Arabidopsis thaliana: one gene and its partners. The protein of the gene in region 2 interacts with the protein of the main gene of each other region in a pairwise test. Each region holds a gene or a part of one and is shown on either strand. Other genes may lie near its edges.

Region 1 (7,755 bases), 5.2 Mb from region 2:
GGCTAACATAACAATAGACGTTACTCAATGTTTTGTTGTTTGTAACAATACTCTGCCTAAGGAAAATGGCTTTAACTATTATTATAAAACTCACAGTGCAACCATGTTCCTACACCATTTCACAACCCATATATCACCTCTTCAACAAATTCATTCAAGGTTCAAAGCAAAGAGTGAGAAAACTTGAAAAGTCTGTCAAAAGCATACATCTAGAATAAAGAGTAATACCACCTACCTGTAGAGAAATTGCGAAATGCTGGACGAATAACGCTGTTGAATAAAGAAGACGAAGCAGAAGCTCGAGCTCTGCATAACGCCACAAGACCTGACATGGAGGGACTGCTGCTCTAAACAGTATAAAGGTAGGGTTTTTAAGCACTACAGCTCCAACAACCTATCCAAATAAACACAAATAATTAACAGTCTGGAACTGTACATATCCTTGAAATTAGGGCTTCTACGCACTACCCACATACCTAAATCGTCACGACCGATTTTTATTTAAAATTCCGAATCAGAAAACTGTACAATATCACTAAATCCGGTCATTTCTTGCAATGATAATTTGAGCTATCAATCTACTGGGTTAAGTAATGGCTTCGTATAATGATGTAGCATGAGATCGGGACAAACCTGCAGTATGCCAAAGTCCTCGAAGAAACCTTTGCAATTTGAGAGAGAGACTGATCGAGGAAGACGACTATGGGTGTGTGAGAGAGAGCCTAAATGCCTAATTGTTTTAATTAAAATCGAGAAGACAGGCCCAATTCATTAATACAAGCCCAATACACCAAACCCACTAGATAGGCCCAGCTCGTTCTATCAGTGTTTTCTACACCATGTGCAGGCGCGAGAAAGGAAGAACAGAGCACGTATGTAATAAACGTCTCCATTGTAGAATCACTTGAGATTAAATTTTCTAAATATGAATTAACACATGATCGTTGAGGATGTGAACTGCGTTTTAGGTTCATTCATGTAATTGATAAACGCCAATGTGAAACACAAAACATAACTAAGCTAACGAGAGACCACAATGATATAAGAAGTCCAATAAAAAGACGGCTCTATTCAAAAGTCTGATCCATCAGTTATCAAAAAGCACACAAAACAAGTCTTTCTTTTTTTTTAATTTTAAATAGACATTTCAAGATCGGAGATTTAGTAACTATGACCATTCTGTCTCTGCAGCACTTTGTTTCCTTATTCCTGTAAGAAAATGAAATTAATATTAGTGAGCAAAAACGATCATAACGTTCAAGCTATAAGCAAAAGAAAAGAATATATAGGTAAATAACCTCATCGTCGTCATCATCATCTTCCTTCTTCAGACGGGTCTCTCCACCTTCCTTGATAATAGGAAGCTTCATAGCTCCAAATGGTGTATCAACATCAATATTACCTTTGATTGTGTACCCTGTTCCTTTACCACGAATCATATCCCAAAGCGCAGAACCAAAGTCCTTTGGTCGGAATGTCATCGGCACATTAATCAATCCGCTTCCGTTTTTGTCAAGCTTGATCGAGTCCGCGATCTCTGCTTTCCCAATGCTTACATCACACAGCCAAACTTCACAGTCCAAGTCATTGAGCCCCAAGTCGAAATCATTCATGTTCTGAAGCCTCACATGGAGAATCGCCACGGTTTCCTCCAAAGAGAACTTCTGGAACTTAATCTTCTCGATATCAACATCAGGTTTCTTTGGAATTGGGATCTCTCCACATTTCTCCAGCGGCAATGTCAGTCTTCCCAATACTGGCACATCCACAATCAGATCAACCTTGATTCTGTAAGGTATGATCATCCCGGGGTTGATATCGTTGTAAGTGCTCTTGATGTCATCATAGATCAACGTCAATGGTATCTTCACAGTTTCTTCTCCATGAGCCTTGAGTGTTCCAGCATCCGGGATCAAACCAGAAACCAGTTTCCTCCCATCGCTCTCGACCAGGTAGTTGACATCGATGAGAGGGATAGGAACTGGATTCGGGTTCTTGACAAGCACATCCACAACAATATCTGCCCTCTCAAGATTGATCTTAGGGATATGAATCGCAGAGACATCAGCAGTTGGCTTCCCAAAGCCAATGGTTCCCTCGAGTTTCTCACCAATGTCATGAATGAAATCTTTCACCTTATCGAGGAATCCACCTTTCCCTTCTTCTTTTTCCTCGTCCTTATCCTTCTGACTTCTATCGACGATTTCCACGTCACCCTCCTGATGAACTACTCTACTGATGATTTCCGGTTTATCCTCAGATGTCGACATGCCTCCTAAGCAGCAAGAAAAGTCAATTAGTGCCACAGAAACAAAAGCTTAGAGTATCAAAGAATAGACAAAACTTCAAGCATTCAACGCCGAGAGTAGATTCATCAATCACAGCAGGACAATGGTTGTAAAAGTCAAACAAAGTGTAATCACAGTTTTTAGTAGTTGTAAGAGGCTATAATCACCAAAACAAAGTTTCTCACCAAAGACCATAGAGAACTCGCATCACATTAGATATCATCAACTAGGATCCTAGTGGAATATCCCAAACCAAAGAACATACAATGCATCTCTGTACTAAGAGACAATGATCATATCACGTGAATCAAGAGGATTCGTGGGAAATACAGATCCGAATGTTCGATCTACACATGATAGCACTAGATCAACCTAAATGTCAAACAGATCGGAGAAACAAAAAGCTCGATCTAATTACACCACCTTTTTCCATGTATTCCGATCAAATCATGAAGGATCAACGCAAGAACAACAATGAAGAGAAATAAAACTTAGTGGATTTGATTTTTACCTGGATTGGATGAATGTGAGTCACAGAGACAAAGAGAAGAGAGTGCTCCAAGAGTCACAAAATGATTATAGATTGTGGAATTGGTTGATCCGTTGAACTTTATATTAACTATTATCAATGTGACGCGTAATCTTCGCTCGCCGACAAAATTTTCGTCGTGTAAGATCCTTATTGGCTTTTAAAATTGACATCCATTTCGACACCTCAATTTCAAGATATTACAACAAAGAAGATCACATTTTTGATTAGTACAGAAAGACCCCCAAAATTCGGAGGAATTATTATTATCATACGATTCAAAAAAAAAAAACAAGGCCAGAAGCTTACAAAAGCGTTTAAATGATTTTGTAACCAAGGGTAAAACATTTTGACAATCTTTGAGGTACAAACAATTTCAGAGACTGGATTGTAACCAAATGGGACAACATCAAGAGGTTCTCATACGTGATCATGTTCATCCATCGAACGAGCCGAGCTATTTCAGGTGGTGCTCAAACAACGACGCCATTTCGAGCTGAAAAACAAGAGGAAGAAATATTCAAAGACTTTACCAAAAAGACATAAGAACCCGAATGGTTATAACATGACCAGTTGCTCAATGGAATGATCAGGAATTTCTACATCTTATTCTAACAATAAAGGATTGAATCATAATGATACTTACCGCCGTCAAAGCAGTTTCAGCTCCCTTATTGCCGGCTTTGCCACCAGATCGATTCAGAGCCTAGAGTTTCAGTTAACCACAATATTAACAAATTCAGTGTTCATCCATTATGATGAATAAGCTATATATCATCAACTCTTGCATAACACAACTTAAACCTGATCCATGTCCTCGCAAGTCAGTACACCAAATATGCATGGAACGCCTGCAAATTGGATTTTTTATAAGCTTTAATTACTAGAGTCAATAGTGCGTAAACACAAAATTTGAAGAAGTAATTCATGATGAGGGAATTTAAACATCCAAAATCCAAAGAAAAGCAAAAATGAACTACCCGCTCTTTTAGGTTCGGAAGTATACAAAATCAATCTTTCAGTGTTTCCAAAACAATGTCAAATAAAAATGTCTAAAGATGTATATCCAGCAAATAAGTATCGAGGTAAACCTGAATTTATGCTAGCAGAAAGTACTCCAGACGCAGCAGAGTTGGCAACAGCATCATAATGTGTGGTATCTCCTCTTATCTAAACCACAACAAGGACAACAGTAATATCAAAATCCAACTCTTTAAGTATATGTTATCAACATAAAGCAACTACTTTCTGAAGCCATATGAGGAGAAAAACAAATGGAATAGCCTGAGATTCTTTCAAAACAAGAATCATACCACAGCGCCGATACATAAAACAGCATGAAATTTTCCCGATTTCCCAAGATTTTGTGCAACAACACCAATTTCAAAGCTGCCAGGAACCCAAATAACCTGAATAAAAACAGTGTCATTAGCTTTGTGAAAGCTCATAACTTTTTATTCTGTTCTACAAGCAAAAGACTTTTACTTCAATGTCTTCTTCTCTGACTGAATACTTCTTGAAAGTCTCAATCGCTCCTTCCAAAAGCAACTTAGTCACAACCTCATTGAAACGAGCTACCACCTTGAGAAAGAAAAATGAATCAGAACCAAGTCAACACTGCAATTGAGCTCAAAGTTTTCAAATTTCACTGTAAATCAGAACCAAGTCACTAAATCTAAGCAGCGCACAAAGTAAGAAAGCGATTCTGAGAACTCACGATGGCGAATCTAAGACCTTCGCCTCTGATAAGAGACCCCGTAACATGGCGAACAGCAGCCGTCTGTACGAATGAAGAGCGTAATTCCTTCTCTACAGCTAGTGGTGACGCAAATCCTAACACCAAATGTTAACATCTCAATCACGAAATTGCGAAAAAACGATTTGAGTTATTATAAGAGAAGTGAGAGAAAGCAAGCTTACCGGATGTGGATGAGGAGAATGAGAGATTATTGGATTTGTTCACAGAAGAGCCACCGTGTATATAACAGGCGGAGGAAGATTGACGCGAATTGAGCTGACGGTGTGCCGTCGGTATCAGGCGGAGACACGGCGGCGAAGCTAATGACTTCATTTTTCGTTCGTCGGAGTTTTAGAGACGGTTCTTCGTTCTTCAGGTTAAGAGTGAGACTGTGAGGTCCATTAGCTTATCAAATCGGTTCAAGGCTTCCGGTTTATTATTTTCATTAAAATTACGGTTTCATTGAATCTATTAGTTTGGTTAGAGATTTCCGGTTTGATGAAAAGGGATAAGCTAAACCCTACATCCCCAATCACTCTCACCGGCCGGAAATTTTCAGACAAAAGTGAAAGATTTAAACTTTTGACTCCGTCGTAACAAAGAACAAAACTTCCGTATCCTGGAGAGTAAATTCCTTTATGGCTACGAATGGGTACGTTTCGAAACCTACGAATTTCACGTTTTGATTGACGGAGATGAGCTTTAAACTCTTTAAGAGGATTCTATTGAATTTAAACGATTTGATCACAGGTTAATGGCGTCGTCCAGTGTGTTTCTTCATCGCCCGCGTATCGCATTTGCTTCTAGAACGAATCAGACTGTAGGAAAATACGGTAAAGGCCGTGTTAGTTTCATGGGCATTGGGACACGTCGTCTTCCGGTGGTTTTATCCATGACGGCGATGGCGGATTCCGGTGAGGAGGCCGTGAAATCTGTTTTGCCTGGAAATGGCATATCCATCATGGTAAACCTGATCATCTGATGATTTCTCTTAGACTCAAAGTTGTGAGATTTGACTTTGCATTACCATTTAAGTTTGAAATGTAGAAATGTCAAAGCTTGTTCCTTTTGAAATGGGGATTTTTATGTTGGATTTAGCTATATTCATTATCTCTTATTCTACAGGTGAATGGATGTAGTGGCAAAATGGGGAAAGCTGTAATTAAAGCAGCAGACTCTGCAGGAGTAAATATTGTTCCCATATCGTTTGGATCTGCTGGTGAGGATGGTCAGAGAGTTGAGGTCTGTGGAAAGGAGATTACTGTGCACGGTCCAACTGAAAGAGAAAAGGTTCTTTCTTCGGTGTTTGAGAAGCACCCGGAGCTAATTGTTGTCGACTACACAATTCCCTCTGCAGTAAATGGTAAACTTCAGAATCTCTCATTTCTACCATCAAAAGACAATTGTATTCTAGATTTGTTGAAGTTATGGTTGAATTCTGGTTGGCGGAACGATCCTTGATTGAGTTAGTTTAGAATTTGTGCAAGTGAAAATCATCTGCTAGAAGTGTTTTTTTTGTCTATTGTTTGTTGATTTCAAGTTTGGTATTCTCGCAAAATGTAGATAATGCGGAGCTGTATAGCAAAGTAGGTGTTCCTTTCGTCATGGGAACAACTGGTGGAGATAGGAACAAATTGTATGAAACTGTTGAGGAAGCAAAGATTTATGCTGTGATTTCTCCACAGATGGGTAAACAGGTATGTGTACTTGAATGTTTCTGGAAGAAATGATTACTTATGCATGTAAGTTAAGATCATTTTTGCTCATATTTGTGTGCTTTGTTGGTCTATAGGTTGTAGCATTTCTTGCGGCCATGGAGATCATGGCTGAGCAGTTTCCGGGAGCCTTTTCTGGTTATTCCTTGGATGTACTTTTCTTACTTCTTTTATACATTCAAATTCTTTTTTCTTTCTCTGTTAGTTTTATATTACTTCTTGCTACATCTAATCAACTGCCAATCTATATGTAGGTGATGGAGTCTCATCAAGCTAGCAAATTGGATGCATCCGGAACAGCAAAAGCTGTTATTTCTTGCTTCCAGGAATTGGGTGTGTCTTACGACATGGATCAGGTGCATTGGTCATCCTTTATTGTTTACATCTTGGCAATCACTTAATTTATCCTCGGAATGTGAATTTTCTGTGTATACAACTTTTGTGGCAGATACAATTGATTCGGGATCCAAAACAGCAAGTGGAGATGGTGGGTGTACCTGAGGAGCATATCTCTGGTCACGCTTTCCATCTTTATCACTTGACATCACCCGATGAAACGTAATGCAATATCTAAGATATTGTTTATACTTTTCTTTGTTTCCATTGTAAAAGTGTCTCTGTTCCATAACTAGCTCCCTTTTCTTTGTCTTTCTTTGCAGTGTCTCCTTCGAGTTCCAGCACAATGTCTGCGGCCGATCAATTTATGCTGAGGGTACTGTTGATGCCGTGCTCTTCCTCGCCAAAAAGGTTCTAAAGCTTGCTCTTATTGCTCATCATGATTCTGCGAAATTGAATCTCAGCTTTCTCTGAGTCTCACCGCTCTTCTCTATAATGCTAATTGTTGATTCAACACTTTTGTGAAATGCAGATTCGATTGAAAGCAGATCAGCGAATCTACAACATGATCGATGTCTTGAGAGAGGGAAATATGCGTTGAGCTTTCGAGTTTTGCCAGTGCATTGACCAAATGGTGGTTGTAGAAGAGCTGAGATTAGATTTACCAAATCATCAGCTGTGAAAATTAGATGTTTGGTTTCCCACTTCTTCTGCCTTGAGCACAGGCTTTTGAAATTCCTTGGTATATACAAGAACTTGCCATTGTATTGTTCATGTTTTGACCTCTTTACCTCAATGTTATTCTCCTTTCTGGATCATTGAAGTGAAGTCTTATTGATCAAACTTCTCCACAACAATTCTCAGACAAAGTAAAACCTAAATTCATCAAATGGACCCTTCACTTACCATTTGATGATTCAACATCTAAAATGAGATCAAGTGCATAATCATAGTAAGGAACTTGACCACTCAATCCGCAGAGATTGAAATCATCTTGTATATAATCTTAATCGACAAAGTTTATTCAATCTGGTGTTGTTAAGATTTTTGGCTTTTATTGTTATTCTCATTGAACAAATGAGTCACTTCGACTGTTCTTGGCGGTATGCATTTTAGGGCAGGCAACTAAGAAGAACTCCGGGGAGTCTT
Region 2 (8,444 bases):
TCACGGCAATCCACTTGCTTCCACAGCAAGATATGATTATGTGTCACAGGAAACACACTCACGTTTCTATATCCAACATGTTTATCCCAGCTGCTCAGACCAACATACTGAACATTACAATTGGGCTTGGGGTCTTGCCACTTAAATACCAGGTTCTGAAACGGATACCGACCTTTACCAATGCTAATCAACCCATCATAGATACTAATCCAGTAACTCTGAAACTCCAAAGAACAACGACAAAGATCAGAAGCTTCCTCATCGACCACAGATTTTCCATCTACCTGAATCTTCAACCTACGATTCCTATTGCTACCAATGATAACAATGTAGTGAGGACTATTATCTTTCTTATAATGGTAATGTTGAGTCCCCACATTCTCTCTAAACACCACCGTGACATCATTGTGAGCAAACGCATCAAACGCAACACAACCTCTTCCCGCTTCCCGGAACTTCAGATCATCACTCCAAGCACACTCAAAAGGTGCCACTGTCAGAAACTTGTTCTCTTTCGCCGCAACCATCTTTCTTCATAAAATCTCTTGCCTTCACCTACAATATTTCCAAACCCACAAGCCATCAACATCTATATAACCAAAGACAAAGACACTAAAAACATAAAAAGAAACAAAATTTCACTCATTGAGACATTTTCACAAACACATAGAACTCAACCAGACTCACTTTTGAAAAACCAGATCATACGTTTTGAGAAGACAATGATAACAAATGGGTTTTTAAAAAGGAACGTTATTTTCAATGAATCAGCTAGAAAGCAATCAACTTGGCAAAAAAATCTGAATCCAACTGGCTTCATACCCCACCATGAACTTCCGCCGTCAAATTTCAACCACAACGTGGTAATAAAACACGAGCAAAACAATCAGATGCAGAGTACATCAACTTTTAAATCGAATAAAGACAAAAGATTTGAGAAGCTACAAAAGGAAAAATAAAAATGGGTGATTTGATCATAAATCAGATATTTAGATGTGTGGATAAAATTTTCCGAGCGTACCTAATGAACTGTGCGTGACACGTAATAGTGAGTCAGATCTAATCCTTTTTGGAAAGAAGAGTCAAAAAAGGAAATGAGAGACACGAATACGAAGAAGAAGACATGATGAGATATTTTTTGTGTCAGGAGAAACGAGTTGGTGGATTATTGTCACCTGTACATTAATGGGCCAACTAAATCTGTATAAGGCCCACATTTTATTCTGAAACTGAGAATTAAACTCTTTTTTTGGAATGAGAAATGGATAATATGTATGAAATATTAAAAAGTATTTAAAAGTTTAATTATCTTCATAAATGCATATGATTATTTTTTATTTTTTATTAGACAAGAAAAAGAATAATCCTACACTTCCTATTTATTTTACATATCATACTTTTAAAATAAAAATACAAGCCAAAACACAAGTGTACAAAGCATTTTCGAAATGGATTTTTTGATATTGTGTACACAATTCTGAATTATTTCAAAATTTCTTTGATATTCTGCACACAATTCTTTCAAAAATAATTCTTGAATTTGAATATTCTAACAACAAACTGAAGTACTTTTTTTTAGCTAAAGTGTATGCAATTTTATAAATAGATGTCCAATGGGCTATTTCCAGAACATTTTGGTTTGATAACAATTTTGGGCATATGTATGTTTTTTTCACATAAGTATAGTAGATAGTTGGACAATGTGATTTCTGTTACATATGTAAGAGACATCCATTTTAAAGTTTTGAAATGTGTTTTAATTTTATTTTGTAGGTTTCAACACCCACTTTTAAATAATCTATACTATTAATGAGAATGATCTTTTAGATGAGAATATTATATAAAATACATGATAAATGGAGAAGAAAAGGGAATGTAATTAGTGTAAGTGTTCTTTAAAAAAGAATGAGATGAATATTCAGATTAAATTTACCAAAAATGCGCTTAAACGTGTCAGATTTTCTCATTCTTTGTTATTATTTTACGCATACTTCTGATTTTCATCAAACTACTTAACATTTTCGGGATTAATGATAGGTTTACTAACTTAGTGAATTCTTATATTAGTACATAAGTGAGCACTTTGTAGACTTGTTGTCTATTCCTAAAATGGAATCTCAAACTCAATTTTGTCTTAAAATAAGTTTCATTCATTATGCTTGATACATGAATTCAATATTCTCTAAACTCAGAACAGAATCCAATATTCTCTAAACTCAGAACAGAATCCAATATTCTTTATCCCTAATCATCTTAGATTTAAGCTACCTTGCTAAATGATTAAGTTACTTAGCAACAATCTCCAAATTCTAACAGTACCAATCATAAAAGAAAAAGCCACTTGAGAAGAAAAAAAAGATACATAGCCAGAAACAAACCATTAAACTTTTAATCATTAAGACCAATAAACTTGAGAAACAGAAAAAGAGTCTTGACCAATCCTACATTTACCCCATATATAGCTCAAAATCCAACAATTGCAGCAAACTCTCACAAGCAAATCCACCCCAACAAAAGCACTTACCCCGATCCATATATCACAACATTGCAGCAACCCCAAAGCCGATCATCGCGCACAAAAGAGAACAACATACATGAGAAGGTTTATGCTGGACCGCAAAGATAAACGAGAGTTAAGTTGTTATAGCTTGAGATGGCAATTTCGGGTGGTTATGCTCTGCTTCATAAGTAACAATAAGCATTGCCGGATCTTCCAAACATCTCTCAACATGCTTCCTCGCTGGACAACCTCTCATGCTACTACATTTGTAATATCCTCTGCACACAAAAATCCAATACAACACTTCCTTAAAAGGACTCATCTTACTTGTGTCATCTCTTAGCCATTTTTAGACTCTTTTTTCTCATCAAAACTCAAAAGCCTTAATGTTAAAAGGATGGTTCTTTGCATGTGACATCAATCTTTATCACTTCTTAACATAACAAAATATGATCAAGAAGTGTATACCTGGGATAAGGAGAGCCCTTGATGGGCTTCTGACCATATTTTCGCCATGAATAATCATCAGGAGGGATATCTGCAACCTTGTTACTTATAGCCGGTACTCTAATCGATCTCCTAACCCGATGTTTCCTGTCAATTTCCCAATCAGATTAACTACACCATCTTAGTAAAGAGAGGCTATGAAAACGAAACAAAAATATGGAACTGACCTCTTCTTAGCGCAGTGGCATCGGCTAGAGCTCCCGCATTTTAAGCTTCCATGTTCATCTCCTTTCAAGGGGCATTTCCTCTTAGAATGTAGTGAATTCTGATCAGTTGAACTAGGAACCCCAAAATGGAAGGAGTTCTTTCCCTCTATATTAGCAACACTACCATCTATGCTAAGTGAAGAAACAAAGGACCTAGTGGATGACATAGTTGGAGTACAACTAGAGTTATCGAAACTCAAACTTATCCCACCATTGCATTTCCTAAGCATAAGCTCAGCTTGATGTTTCTGTAGCTGCTGTTGCTGATGAAGATGGTGAGCTTGTAACCGTTCATGAAACTGTTGCTGTTGCTGCTGCTGCTGCTGCTGCTGCTCCTGCTGTTGTTGTTGTTGTTGTTGTTGTTGTTGTTGTTGTACTGGAAACAAAGTAGGATAATTCGAAGGAGGCATTGTCTGCTGATTAAGCTGAAGGAGAGGAGCTTTAGCATTTGAGTTTAAACTAAAAGAGCGAGTCCCTAAAGTGAGTGAATCTGAAGGTTGTCTCAAGCTCAATTCCTGGAAACCAGACCGGAGTACCGGTGTTTTCTGAGAAGATGATGATGGAACTTCTGTTGTCCTTTGTTGACATGGATCAAGTAAGAGACTTTGAGAGACATGACTCTGAAGTTTCTTAGCTCTTCTAAACCTAGCATGACCAACACTACTGCTTAACAAACTCCCAACTCTCTTGAACCTAATCACAGCTTCTCTAGTTTCAGATACTAAATTCTTTTCAAAACCAACATGATCTTGTTGCTGTGATCTATGTAAAAGATTAAGAACTCTATGACAACTCTCAACAGCTGCTCTGTTTGTTCCTTCTATCTCCTCCATCTAAGAACCCTAATTTTTTCCCCCAGAAAACAAAACTTTCACTCAGAATACAAAAGAGAACAGAAAATGGGAGAGACCCAGATAGTCAAGTTTCAAGCTTACACAATCCCATCTTGAAGAACAGCTCTGAGTCTCTTATAAGAAGAAGATCAAGGTTAAAAAAAGAGAAGGAATTGGGAGATATAGAGAGAGAGGGAATGAAGAAGAGGGAAAAGTAAGAGGGGTTCCTTGGATGCTTGTAGAGCTAAAAAGAGGGTCAGTGTTAATGAGTTGTCAAACCCAAGATTCCTCCACCATCTTTAAAGGAGAGGTTCGAGAAAACGAAAGGTGTGAAAGAGAAGACTTTCTTGCACACACACACAGAGTCACTCTTCTCTTCTCTCTCTTTTAAGTTGGCTTCAGCAATCACTCAACCAAAACAAAACAAATATTGAAAGCATCCTTATGATTTTCTTTTTTACCCCAAAACAAACAACACACTGTGAAACAACAAATCATTTTATTATAAATAAAAAAAGACAACTTTATTTTTTGGAAAAGCAAAGAGAGGAAAAAAAGGAGAGAGAGAGAACGAAACCGGCGTCTGTCACAGATTCAGAGGTGGGTCCTACTCGAAGACTCGGGTCGTAATTATTATTTTTGCAGTTTAGGTTTTTCTTCTTTTAGTATAATAATAAAACAAATTTAATTGTTCTCTGACATAAAAAAGATAACTAATCAAACTTAGCATCATCATACTTCGGACATTTTGTTGACCTCTTTTATCTTTAAGTTTTTTTTGTTCATATAATACCGTATTGTTTTCTTTTATGATATAAAAATATACGAATGTTTCATTGTTATTCACGAGTTTAAAAAAAAAGAGAGAAAGTTAATTTCCAAGTTTTTGATAAGTAACTTGACAAAACAAAAAAAGTAAAAGAAAAAGTGGTACCAAACTTTTTTACGCAGTTTCTAACGGTTACTTAGTACACTTGAGGTGTCTTTTTATTCTACGGATCAATGATGTGTTTTTAAGCATAAGTGTTGCTAAATGCAGAAATTTATATACTAACAAACATTACATTTCCATTACTAGATATTGGAAATTTTGGTGTTAAATGTTTTGAGTATTATAAGTTTTCTCTATCTATTAATCTAACATTTTAGCATCCATTAGTTATGAAATTTCAATATATTATTGTTGAAGATTTTTTTTGTTATGTATAATGAATTATAACGTTACAATTAATAGAAAATCTATCGAAAATTGGCTTTTTAACATAAAGTAACGCATGTTATCATTATTAAGCGACAAACGAATTTATATTTTATATTAGGTATATGACAATTGGTAATGGACGAATCATACGTTACTTTTAAATTAGTAAGAAAGACATCGTCACGCCAACTAGTCAAGTGCGCTTGTTCTAGTAACGTATGTTTAGGGAACTAGCCACACCGAATCTAATTCACGTGTGGTTTTTGTGGTGAAAGATCGACCAATGGTTTAAAGTATTGTTGGTGGTTTAAATCTGGCTGAAGTAAAACCATATTAATACCTTACTATTGCTTTCTCTTGCGGTTTCAATATAGCAGTTTTTAAATAGTCCGCTTTCTAAATTAAAGTAACGCACATCATAATCATTAGGCGACAAAACAAAATATATATTCTACCATTATATACAAGACATTTGGTTATGGAAGAATCGTACGTTACTTTTGAAACGTTAAGAAAACATCGTTACATCAACTAGTCAAGTATTCTTGTTCAAATAACGTATATTAGGAGAACTATATAACTATGTCGAAACTAATTCACGTGTGCTTTTTATGAAAGATCGACAAGTGGATAATTTCTTCATCCAATAAACAAACCCAAAATTCTAACCCGGTAAAAGTAAAAACCTTATTAATACCTTAATATTGCTTCCTCTTGCAATCATAATGTAATACATTGCTAAATGTAGAAAAATATCTACAAACAAACACCACAGCGATTCCAATACTAGATATTGGTGACTTCTTGAGTATCATAACTTGTTTCCCATATATCAATTTAACATTTTAGCATTCAAAATTAGTTATGAAGTTTCAATTATTCTTGCTGGAGATAAATTTTATTTACTAGGCATAAATCAATCACAACGTGATATGTGCATGCTTAGTTAATAGAGTATCTATCGAAAATTCGCTTTTTTTAATTAAAGTAACGTATATCATCATCATTATTAAGCGACAAACGAATTTAGACATTTTACCATCATTTACAAGATAATTGGTGATAGACGAATCATACGTTACTTTATAGATAGTATAAAATAAAATTACGCCAACTCGTCTATTGCGCTTGTTTTAGTAACATATGTTAGATGAATTGGCCACGTTGAATCTAATTCATGTGTGCTTTTTGTAGAAAATCGACAAGTAGATAATTTATTCGTCACAATGACCCAAGATTCAAACCTAATTGAAATAAAACCCTAGTAGTACCTTATTATTGATTCCTCTTGAAATCTCAATACAACAGTTTCTAATTAGCACATTTGACGTGTCTTTCCATTCGACAAAGTTTTGGTAAAATATATGCGGAATTTAACAAAATTATAAGACTTTGTCTATAAGGGAATTTATGAAAAATTTGTTTCTCCAATTAACATCATCATCATTAATCGAAAAAGATGCTTACACACTTAATCAATCATGTACAAGAAAATTGGTGATGAACGAGTTATATGTTATTTTCAAGACAGTAAGAGAAACATTGTTACGTCAAGTAGTCAAGTACGTTTGTTCTAGTATCGTATGTTGTGGGGGAATTAGCCTTGTCGAATCTAATTCACATATTATTTTTGTGGAAATTTGACTAATGGATAGTTTATCCGTCCATAAAACAATGACCCAAAATCCAAATTTGGTTGAAGTAAATCTCTATAAATACCACGTGAATTTAACTATGTTTTGTGTGCAAATTTTTTTATTTCCCAACAGTTTAGAAATATCTAGAAACAAATGCAAAAAGACAACCAAATTTCTTCAAAATTATGTTTTAAAAAAAGAAATAAGAAAATTCATCTTTAATTTTGCATTTTGTATTAAAAATTGTTAGAAAACTTTTTTTTTTGGTGAACAAAATTGTTAGAAAACTTTTATACATCTCTCTTTAATTCTTGTATTAAAGGTACACTTCACAAGTTTTTTTTTGGTTATTTTTCTTTTGACTTCTCAATAATGGCTAAGTCATTCGATTCACAAGGATTCCGTGTACTTCTCCATTTAGTCCAAACAAGGAAACAAATATTTATAGAAATGACAACATTATCCTAATCATACATTCAAATATCCAAAAAGGACACAATCTCCTTTAAAAAGCCATTTTTGAATCTTCTTGGATAAACAAACAAAGTGTCTGTCTCACACCAATGTTTCAAATTTTAAGATTACAATTAAATAAATATAAATTGCTAAGTTTCTTTCTACACAAGACATTCCACTGCTCCTGCACTTTTCTTTCTTCTCGGTCTAGAAAAGATTCAATGAATAGCTCTTTAGTTGTTGCATTCAGGGAGCTTCCGAGAATAAACTAGCACCATTACAAATTCCTTTGCAGATGAACCTATTGACGCAGCGACTCTTTGATGCTTAGAAGTTGTTTCCAACCATAGGTCTACTAAGCTGTGAAGCTGCAACGTTGGGATCACTGGTTCTCCCATACATGTTATCTCTACCTGTTTACAAAAAAAAAACATAGAGTAGTTAAGGTTCAACACCGGTGGGTCGAAAAAGTCCCAGATCATAAGATATCACCCGGTACACAAGTCGGAAATAAAAGGGAGAGTTAACTTTAGTTTAAACATTTATGGGGACCTTACAGTCATATTGATAAGCACAAGACTTGAACCAATGTATAGAACTACGGTCTATGTGATTCCATATTAGACCGAGTGGATACCTCATATAAAACAGAAAAGTAGCCACTGCATAAGATAAGATTGCTTACCTCATCTTCACTCTTGAGATCAAGCTTCCTCATGAGGTACTTTTGGATAAAAGAAACTGGAATATTTCCATCCCTACCATATAATGAGACAGGGGATCAACTCTGGCACAATATAATTCTCCCAAACAAGAAAATAGACACCTCCCAGTCAAGGATTAGGTGTGATGGGCCAAAAAAGAAGAAGGCTTTATCAAGAAACGTATACCACAGAAAACAAACATGACATGGAAACTCGGGTAAAACAACTGCGAAATCGAATTCAAAGCCATCAATGCAATAATAAGTAATATTTGATCACAGACTTCACAGTTGACATATAAAAACTTAGTGACAAGAAACAGAGCAAAGCAAAAAGAACAACTTACCTTATTCTCAAGTAGTTTGCTGGAATCTGAGGCAATGATGCTTCTCCTTCCCTG
Region 3 (7,130 bases), on a different chromosome or scaffold from region 2:
TCTCTTTCAATGATTTTTATGTCCATTGTGGGTTCCCCAGTTTCCTCTCACCACTGACCCATCTAATCAATCTTTGCAACTTGCTACTACTATCCATCCATCCATGAGAGAGAAATTTTTTGTGATTCAAAGTTTTGATTTTTAGCTACCAATCTATGAGTGAGTGACTGAGAAACAGAGAAGGATTCCAAGCTGCTAAAGATTTTTTGTCAAGATTTTTAATTTAAGTTTCCTGGAGGAGGAGATCACAGATCTTCTTTTCATATGAAGAGATCTTTCCTTGTAAGTCTTTATCAATTTATCTCTTCTTTCTTTGGACATTACTTAGACAATTCCAATGCTCTTGTCTCTCAAATCTGGTAATATGTATATATATCTTTGTCTTTAAGATCTGAAATCTGGTTTAAAGGTTGAGAATTCACTGTTTTTACTGTGCAATATTTCATCTTTCTTCCTGATTTGATGTTTGTTAGCTTATAGATGTGAAATGCGGCTCTCACCTAAATTGTGCTTCTTCCACTGTTTAATGTGTGAGTTTCATAAAGCTTGAGACTTGAGAACATCATAGGATCACAATGTTCTACAATAGGTGGAGAATTTTTATACAACAAGTGTTCTGATTGCTTTTGCGCATTGCTTAGTTTTAGAGTGAAATGTGGCTCCAGTGTGCTATCAGAGTTTCATTAAAGCTTGAGACTTGAGAAATTTTGGTTTTTGCAGCTCTTGTATGTGCTCCTGGTACAGGCCTTCTATGGGGCTTGGTGTAGTGTTGGAGAAAGCCTGCATTGTGAATATTCCAATTTAGCGAGTCTTCACCGGCCTCACAGCGTATCGATTACAGAGTTTGGAGCGGTTGGAGATGGTGTGACTCTAAACACTAAAGCCTTTCAGAATGCTCTGTTCTACCTCAATTCTTTCTCTGATAAAGGCGGGGCCAAGCTTTTTGTTCCCGCTGGTCAGTGGCTTACCGGGAGTTTCGACCTTATCAGTCACCTCACCTTATGGCTAGATAAAGGTGCAACGATTCTCGGGTCAACGGCAAGTCTCTGCCTTTTTGAATCTTTACAAGCATACCCTTTGCTATATGAACTGTGATCACTTATACAACTTGTTAACACTCAGAGCTCAGAGAATTGGCCCGTGGTTGATCCATTACCATCATATGGACGAGGAAGAGAATTGCCCGGTAGAAGACACAGAAGTCTTATATATGGTCAGAATCTCACAGATGTAGTCATAACAGGTACTAGTACAGCATTTATAAAAAATGATTAGTTTTGAACTGATGATGCTAGTTTTAGATATGCTGTCTGATGATATCAACATTTTAGGCGAGAACGGGACAATTGATGGTCAAGGAACTGTATGGTGGGATTGGTTTAGAAATGGAGAGCTTAACTATACAAGACCTCATCTTGTTGAGCTCATGAACTCTACTGGTCTGATCATCTCCAACCTCACATTCTTGAATTCACCGTTTTGGAACATTCATCCTGTTTATTGCAGGTCATAATAACTTAATCATGATTTGATTTTGATATCCACCAAATTTCTCTCTTCAATGTTCTGATATGGAGTTTTTGTCTGAACAGAGATGTTGTTGTAAAGAATCTCACAATTTTGGCTCCTCTTGAATCTCCAAATACAGATGGAGTTGATCCAGGTGAGTTTCCTTGCAAATTTTACTCGTAGATTCAAGATATGTACCTTATTATTATCTTTGGAAATTGTTCTGTTTGCAGATTCATCAACTAATGTTTGCATAGAGGATTGTTACATAGTTACCGGGGATGATTTGGTATCGATAAAAAGCGGATGGGATGAGTATGGAATATCCTACGCAAGACCGAGCTCCAAGATCAAGATTAATCGGTTAACAGGTCAAACTACTTCAAGCTCAGGAATAGCAATAGGAAGTGAAATGTCGGGAGGTGTATCCGAAATATACATTAAAGACTTACATTTGTTCAATTCGAATACTGGAATCAGAATCAAGACTTCTGCTGGAAGAGGCGGGTATGTTAGAAACGTTCACATCTTGAACGTGAAGCTCGATAATGTAAAGAAAGCGATTAGGTTCACCGGTAAGTACGGTGAACATCCTGATGAGAAATACGATCCCAAAGCACTCCCAGCTATAGAGAAAATCACCTTTGAGAATGTAAATGGCGATGGAATAGGTGTTGCGGGTCTTCTTGAAGGTATAGAAGGAGATGTGTTTAAGAATATATGTTTCCTTAATGTTACTCTTAGAGTGAAGAAGAATTCGAAGAAATCACCATGGGAATGCTCGAATGTGAGAGGTTATTCACAGTGGGTTTCGCCGGAAATTACTTGTGATTCTTTGAAAGAGAGTATATTCCCGGAACATGGATCTGATTGTTTCGGGTTATCGGAAAATAATATGGAGATATCAAGTGGTTTAAGTAGATCACCATGGTTACTTTCTTGGTAAGTTACTGTGAAGTTTTGAACATCAAAGGGGAAACACAGTTTGCTTGATTCTGAAGAAACCTCTTCGATTTTGAAAAATGATGCTTTCTTTCATCTTTTGTTGTTTTCGTGTAAATTTGTGTGCAGTGAGGAAAATAATCAGAGTGGCTTAAGAGTTTTTGTTTTTGTTTTCCTTGTATGGGCTTTAATGCTTTTGGTGAGCGGAACAATTGTAATATCTCCGACAGAGTCTGTTGAAATTTTTTGACAATTATTTTTCAATTTCAGATTCCATAACTAGAACAACTATATTTCACTGTTTATTCCGGTAAAATAGTTGAATTGAGAAGTAAATGATAGTATGAAAATATGAAATAGATCTTGATTTGGTTAAACTAGTAACTCAACTGAAACTTTGTGAAAACTAGAATACGAATATGAACCTAATTCAGCAGTGTTCCAAAACAATTCATATTTCTAGTATTATCTAATCTATGTCTAAAACCATAAAAATAACTACTAAACCAAAAAGGATCTGCATTAGCTACAGCTTTTTTTCTTGAAAAAAATAGCTTCATTACAAGTTACAACCGATTTTTTTATAAATGTAATAAAACTAGAAACAAAATTTGAATAAAATCTCGAACAAGTGATTTACATTCAGACAAAACTAACTTTTTCCCCCACCACCACTGACTGTATTGGTCAATCCTAGATTCTTCCAAGTTTGCTTTTAGAAAATCAGTAGTGATAAGCTCTTGAGATCTTTAGTCTTCTCACGCTAGACAAGAACATCCTACATAATCAATTAAGTCCCCATTAATTAAAGGGAATTTTTACATAATTATGTCAAAAAAAATACTTAACTAGAGATTTTTAATACACTAAAATTAAAAAAGAACTTACTCCCAAGGAACATCTCCAACCATCATCCAGTCACCTTCTTTGTCTGCGTACGTTAGCACGTGACTCTTCTCACTACACATATCTTCTTCTTCAGCCCCTATTTTCACAATTTTTTTATTGCCATTAGTTTTGGTCTTAACTATATACATGCAAAGAGAGGTATAACAAATATAAATATTAACTAAGTCTACATGCAAAGATGTAATTAAGTGTGTGTAGATACTTACAAAGGATTGAAGCATTGAACATGTAGTCGAGAGTTGTGATCAAATCATGATATCCATTAAGAGATAAAAGATCGATCTTTCTCCCAATAGGAACTCCTTCCATGTTCACTTTCACGTAGAAGCTTCCGACACTATTACACTCGTTTTGCTCTTCTTCTTCCATGATCATCATTTCCTCTGCCGCACCGACTCCATCATATTCATGGTTATCTCCACCGTTGTAATATTGTCCGGAAGATGATCCGAAGCTGAGCCCGAGTCTCAGGTCCGTGCTTAGGTTCCGAGTATTACTCGAAGACACACCAAATGGGTTGCTTTTGCAGCTGCTCTCTATCGATGAAGACGATGAGCTTCTCCCTCTTCCCATTTTTTTTTATTTCTTTTACTATTTCTCTCTCTCTATGATTTTATCTAAAACAGGTGATTAATGATTTGAACGTGTGTGTATTATATATAGAGAATGGAAATTTTTATTTAATTGTTAGAGCTTAAAAGGAAGAAGTAATAATATTGGAATGGTCTTTCTGATATGTTTTTTTTTTAATTAAAGAAAATGGTGGAATGATGAGACAGTGTTGTTAAAGATGTTGTCCATGTAGCAGACAAATACACGTGTCATGCAGACACTTGGTCAAAGTGTTGGTTTTGACTTTGTGCTCGGATTTTTTTGCTGGGTGTGTTCTAATTAAATTTTGTTTGTTTCAATGTAAATATACTCGACTCCTAGTACTACCTTTCGTTTAACAAAAAAAAAAAGAAAAAAGATTGTTTGATTTCTTATAAAATAATTAGGGTTGGATTTTAGAATTAACTGAATTATTTTGTTAAAACACTATAAATGAATAAGAAACTGTGACTGATTTAGTTTAAAAAGTTTAGGCTTAGATTTAAGGAATCATATGAACGTAGACAAGATAGTTCTAAACCGGATAAGAACATGTTTTCTTAAATAAATGTAGACCAATGTACAATACATAGTTTACTTCATTATCCGTCTTAGTAAAATCAAGTTCAATGCATGAGACTATCGTGACGCGCATTGATGCATTCGTGGGTTCGACAAACAACACTTCCATAATTAAGGTTTTTTTTATAACCGCGAGACACTTTAAGCAAAAAAAATGTTTTTGTTTTAGCATTAAAGTATGTCAAAATGTTTTTTAAATTGAATATCAACTGCTAAACACGTCTCATGTACGTCATTAACTCTCTAATAATGTTCTTTAATTATGACAAAAAATATTGAAAATAGTCTACGTGGACTCCATTGTATCTAAGCATGACAAGAGTTTGAGCTTTCCATGATTTTAATCCACGTCGCTGTTAGTAATTACACTCCTCTACTAATTTGATTGTTCCTTTTAATTTATCTTATCATGAAGCATCTATAGTCAAGTCCAACCACTACTATATTTTTCCAATACTAAACCAATTTACCAACCTTTTATGTGTAGCAATCAAAGTGAATCAAGTGGTGCTAATCTCCCACAAATCTTAATCAGAATTTCTGTATCTTTTCATGGCAGAGACCAAAACACATCATATTGGTGATCTTAGTCTTATCCGTCGTTAGTATTCAAAATAGTGACTTTAATAAATGCTTCTCTTTGGTTGGCACACCAAGATTCTATTTGTGTAATATTCATTGGATTTAGATAGAAACATGTATGTGGTATAGTCAATTCGGTTGATATATTAAACTTTGGTCACCAGAAAAAAGTGCATGCTTCTTGGTTTTGTACGTTACATGTAATAAATTAGAAGCGAAGAAACAAATAGAGGGGAATATAGAAAAAGAAAGAAAATGAGAGAAGGGAAGCATGAGTAATGAATGCGTAACCTTAAAGAGAGGAGCTAATGAGAGATGCTTCGCCTATGGACTAAGGACTGAGGATACGTCACAATTCTCACACTCCAAAACATACATATAGTTTTGCAAGCACGAGACAGTAAACACTATCGACAACATTTCACGTTCCCCACGTCACGTGCCTTTTTCCACGTGTCTCCTCACTTTGTCGCCTCCACTTCCACTCTTCTACAATCACTCCTTAAGCTTCTTCATGACCTACCAATCAATATGATTAGAACTCTTTGTTCTCTCTTTTATAATTGGAAGATTTTGTCCAAAGTTATTTTTACAATCAAATCATATTCCATTCCGTCTTTTAGTTTATATGTACAACGTAACTTGTTTCTTATTTTTAATTAATGGTTTTAGAACTTAAAGTTTTACGGATTACAAATAGTATTCTTAAGTATTAAAGTGTTTTTCATATTATATATAGTTTTTTAAAATAATTTGAAACGATCCTGAATCTCTTATCAAGTGTCTTTATCATTGAGCCAAAAACATATATAGTATACACATTCATACAAATCTTTTGAACCCGAAACATCCAAACAATGTCGTTATCACAATAACCGACATGTATTGCGTAGATATCGTTTGGTTTGAAGAAACAAATAGATACTATTAGAAAGAAGAAGAGAAAAAGATTTAGCTTGAACCAAAAGAAACTCCAAACATGATTTTTGAGAGAGAAAAAAAAAAAGGGAAACTGATAAAGAAGAGATATGTTCCCCACCACCCCTACCATTATCATCACAATTTCCTCACTTTTTTTTCTTTCTTCTTCAAACTTTTTTCTCCACACCATTCTTTGTCCCCTTTGTTTTTTTTTTTTGTATCTTGTACTCGTCTTTTGTTTCTAGATAACCAATATGTTATTACATGTATTTGGTCAAGTATTTTCTTTGAATAACGTATAAAATTCTGGAAAGCGAACATAGATAGTAAAAACAAGAAAAAAATAGAGTCAATTCTAAGTAAATTAAATCCTATTTGTGAAAGTATAAAAACAATACTAAAAGAAAATTGGAGAATTGAGATTTCACCATATGTACATAGAAATGAAATTCAAAAGAAAAACAGTGATTCTCAGATTTTCAAGGCACTCATAGTTTTTTAGTTTCAAGATTTAATGATAATGTCTCGTCCTTTTACAAATCATTAAGTTGTAAGAGAGTTTTGCTTCTTTTTGAAAGAAAAAAAATACTACTCATAATTTACTTTATGTTTATCATAAATTATGATAACTCGACTTTACTGCAATGTGTTTGCTTGTCAGTAAAAACATGGGCTGGCTTCAAATCCGGATGATTGCATGTCTCGTGACTCTTTTGTAGCCTCTCTTGTTGGCCAACTCATTCCATTTTCTCGTTTTAGGCTCTTTCTTTTTTTTAGTCACAAAGTTGACCATACCAACATGCAAGACCAATTATTATATCTCTTTTTGACATAAACCAATTATTATATCTTCAAAATTAGAGGTTTTTGACCACCACTCTGATATATTTTTGGCTTCGAAACCAACCAACAAAAAACATAGCGGTTTAAAAATTAAAAAACCGTCTTTATCATAAACCAAACCATAAAATGCAGTGATTCACCTTCTAATCTTCTGTTTGACGTACAAGTGATAAATGACTTCAAAGCTACTCCCGTTTCTTTACGAGTGATTTCATTTCATCATAAAGAAATATGTGTTGCTCTTGTTCTTA

Evidence for each region. Proteins that work in one complex are often made in the same cells at the same time.
Region 1: the proteins of WRKY21 (region 2) and COS1 interact in binary tests that used the Arabidopsis thaliana proteins (3 or more experiments, as listed by UniProt).
Region 3: the proteins of WRKY21 (region 2) and IAA30 interact in binary tests that used the Arabidopsis thaliana proteins (3 or more experiments, as listed by UniProt).

What each region holds. Positions count from the first base shown.
Region 1 is NC_003071.7:18,221,437-18,229,191, reverse strand, and holds COS1 (6,7-dimethyl-8-ribityllumazine synthase / DMRL synthase / lumazine synthase / riboflavin synthase), read right to left. Parts: upstream 4,980-7,755; 5' UTR 4,889-4,979; coding exon 4,738-4,888; intron 4,651-4,737; coding exon 4,535-4,650; intron 4,399-4,534; coding exon 4,303-4,398; intron 4,227-4,302; coding exon 4,131-4,226; intron 3,988-4,130; coding exon 3,909-3,987; intron 3,669-3,908; coding exon 3,622-3,668; intron 3,524-3,621; coding exon 3,464-3,523; intron 3,314-3,463; coding exon 3,275-3,313; 3' UTR 2,959-3,274; downstream 1-2,958. Other genes in the region: AT2G44065 (Ribosomal protein L2 family), read right to left, coding at 236-332; AT2G44060 (Late embryogenesis abundant protein, group 2), read right to left, coding at 1,204-1,209, 1,299-2,270; AT2G44040 (Dihydrodipicolinate reductase, bacterial/plant), read left to right, coding at 5,194-5,207, 5,306-5,519, 5,681-5,918, 6,119-6,252, 6,348-6,422, 6,525-6,626, 6,719-6,828, 6,930-7,017 and 1 more. UniProt on the Arabidopsis thaliana protein: Catalyzes the formation of 6,7-dimethyl-8-ribityllumazine by condensation of 5-amino-6-(D-ribitylamino)uracil with 3,4-dihydroxy-2-butanone 4-phosphate. This is the penultimate step in the biosynthesis of riboflavin.
Region 2 is NC_003071.7:13,029,493-13,037,936, reverse strand, and holds WRKY21 (WRKY DNA-binding protein 21), read right to left. Parts: upstream 4,520-8,444; 5' UTR 4,047-4,519; coding exon 3,175-4,046; intron 3,095-3,174; coding exon 2,969-3,094; intron 2,779-2,968; coding exon 2,634-2,778; 3' UTR 2,140-2,633; downstream 1-2,139. Other genes in the region: AT2G30600 (BTB/POZ domain-containing protein), read right to left, coding at 1-527; DRIP2 (DREB2A-interacting protein 2), read right to left, coding at 7,574-7,753, 8,026-8,098, 8,391-8,441.
Region 3 is NC_003074.8:22,992,638-22,999,767, reverse strand, and holds IAA30 (indole-3-acetic acid inducible 30), read right to left. Parts: upstream 4,083-7,130; 5' UTR 3,934-4,082; coding exon 3,567-3,933; intron 3,437-3,566; coding exon 3,340-3,436; coding exon of another isoform or gene 3,336-3,339; exon of another isoform or gene 3,230-3,335; coding exon 3,175-3,229; 3' UTR 2,959-3,174; downstream 1-2,958. Other genes in the region: AT3G62110 (Pectin lyase-like superfamily protein), read left to right, coding at 265-282, 721-1,038, 1,123-1,243, 1,332-1,506, 1,593-1,663, 1,743-2,455. UniProt on the Arabidopsis thaliana protein: Aux/IAA proteins are short-lived transcriptional factors that function as repressors of early auxin response genes at low auxin concentrations.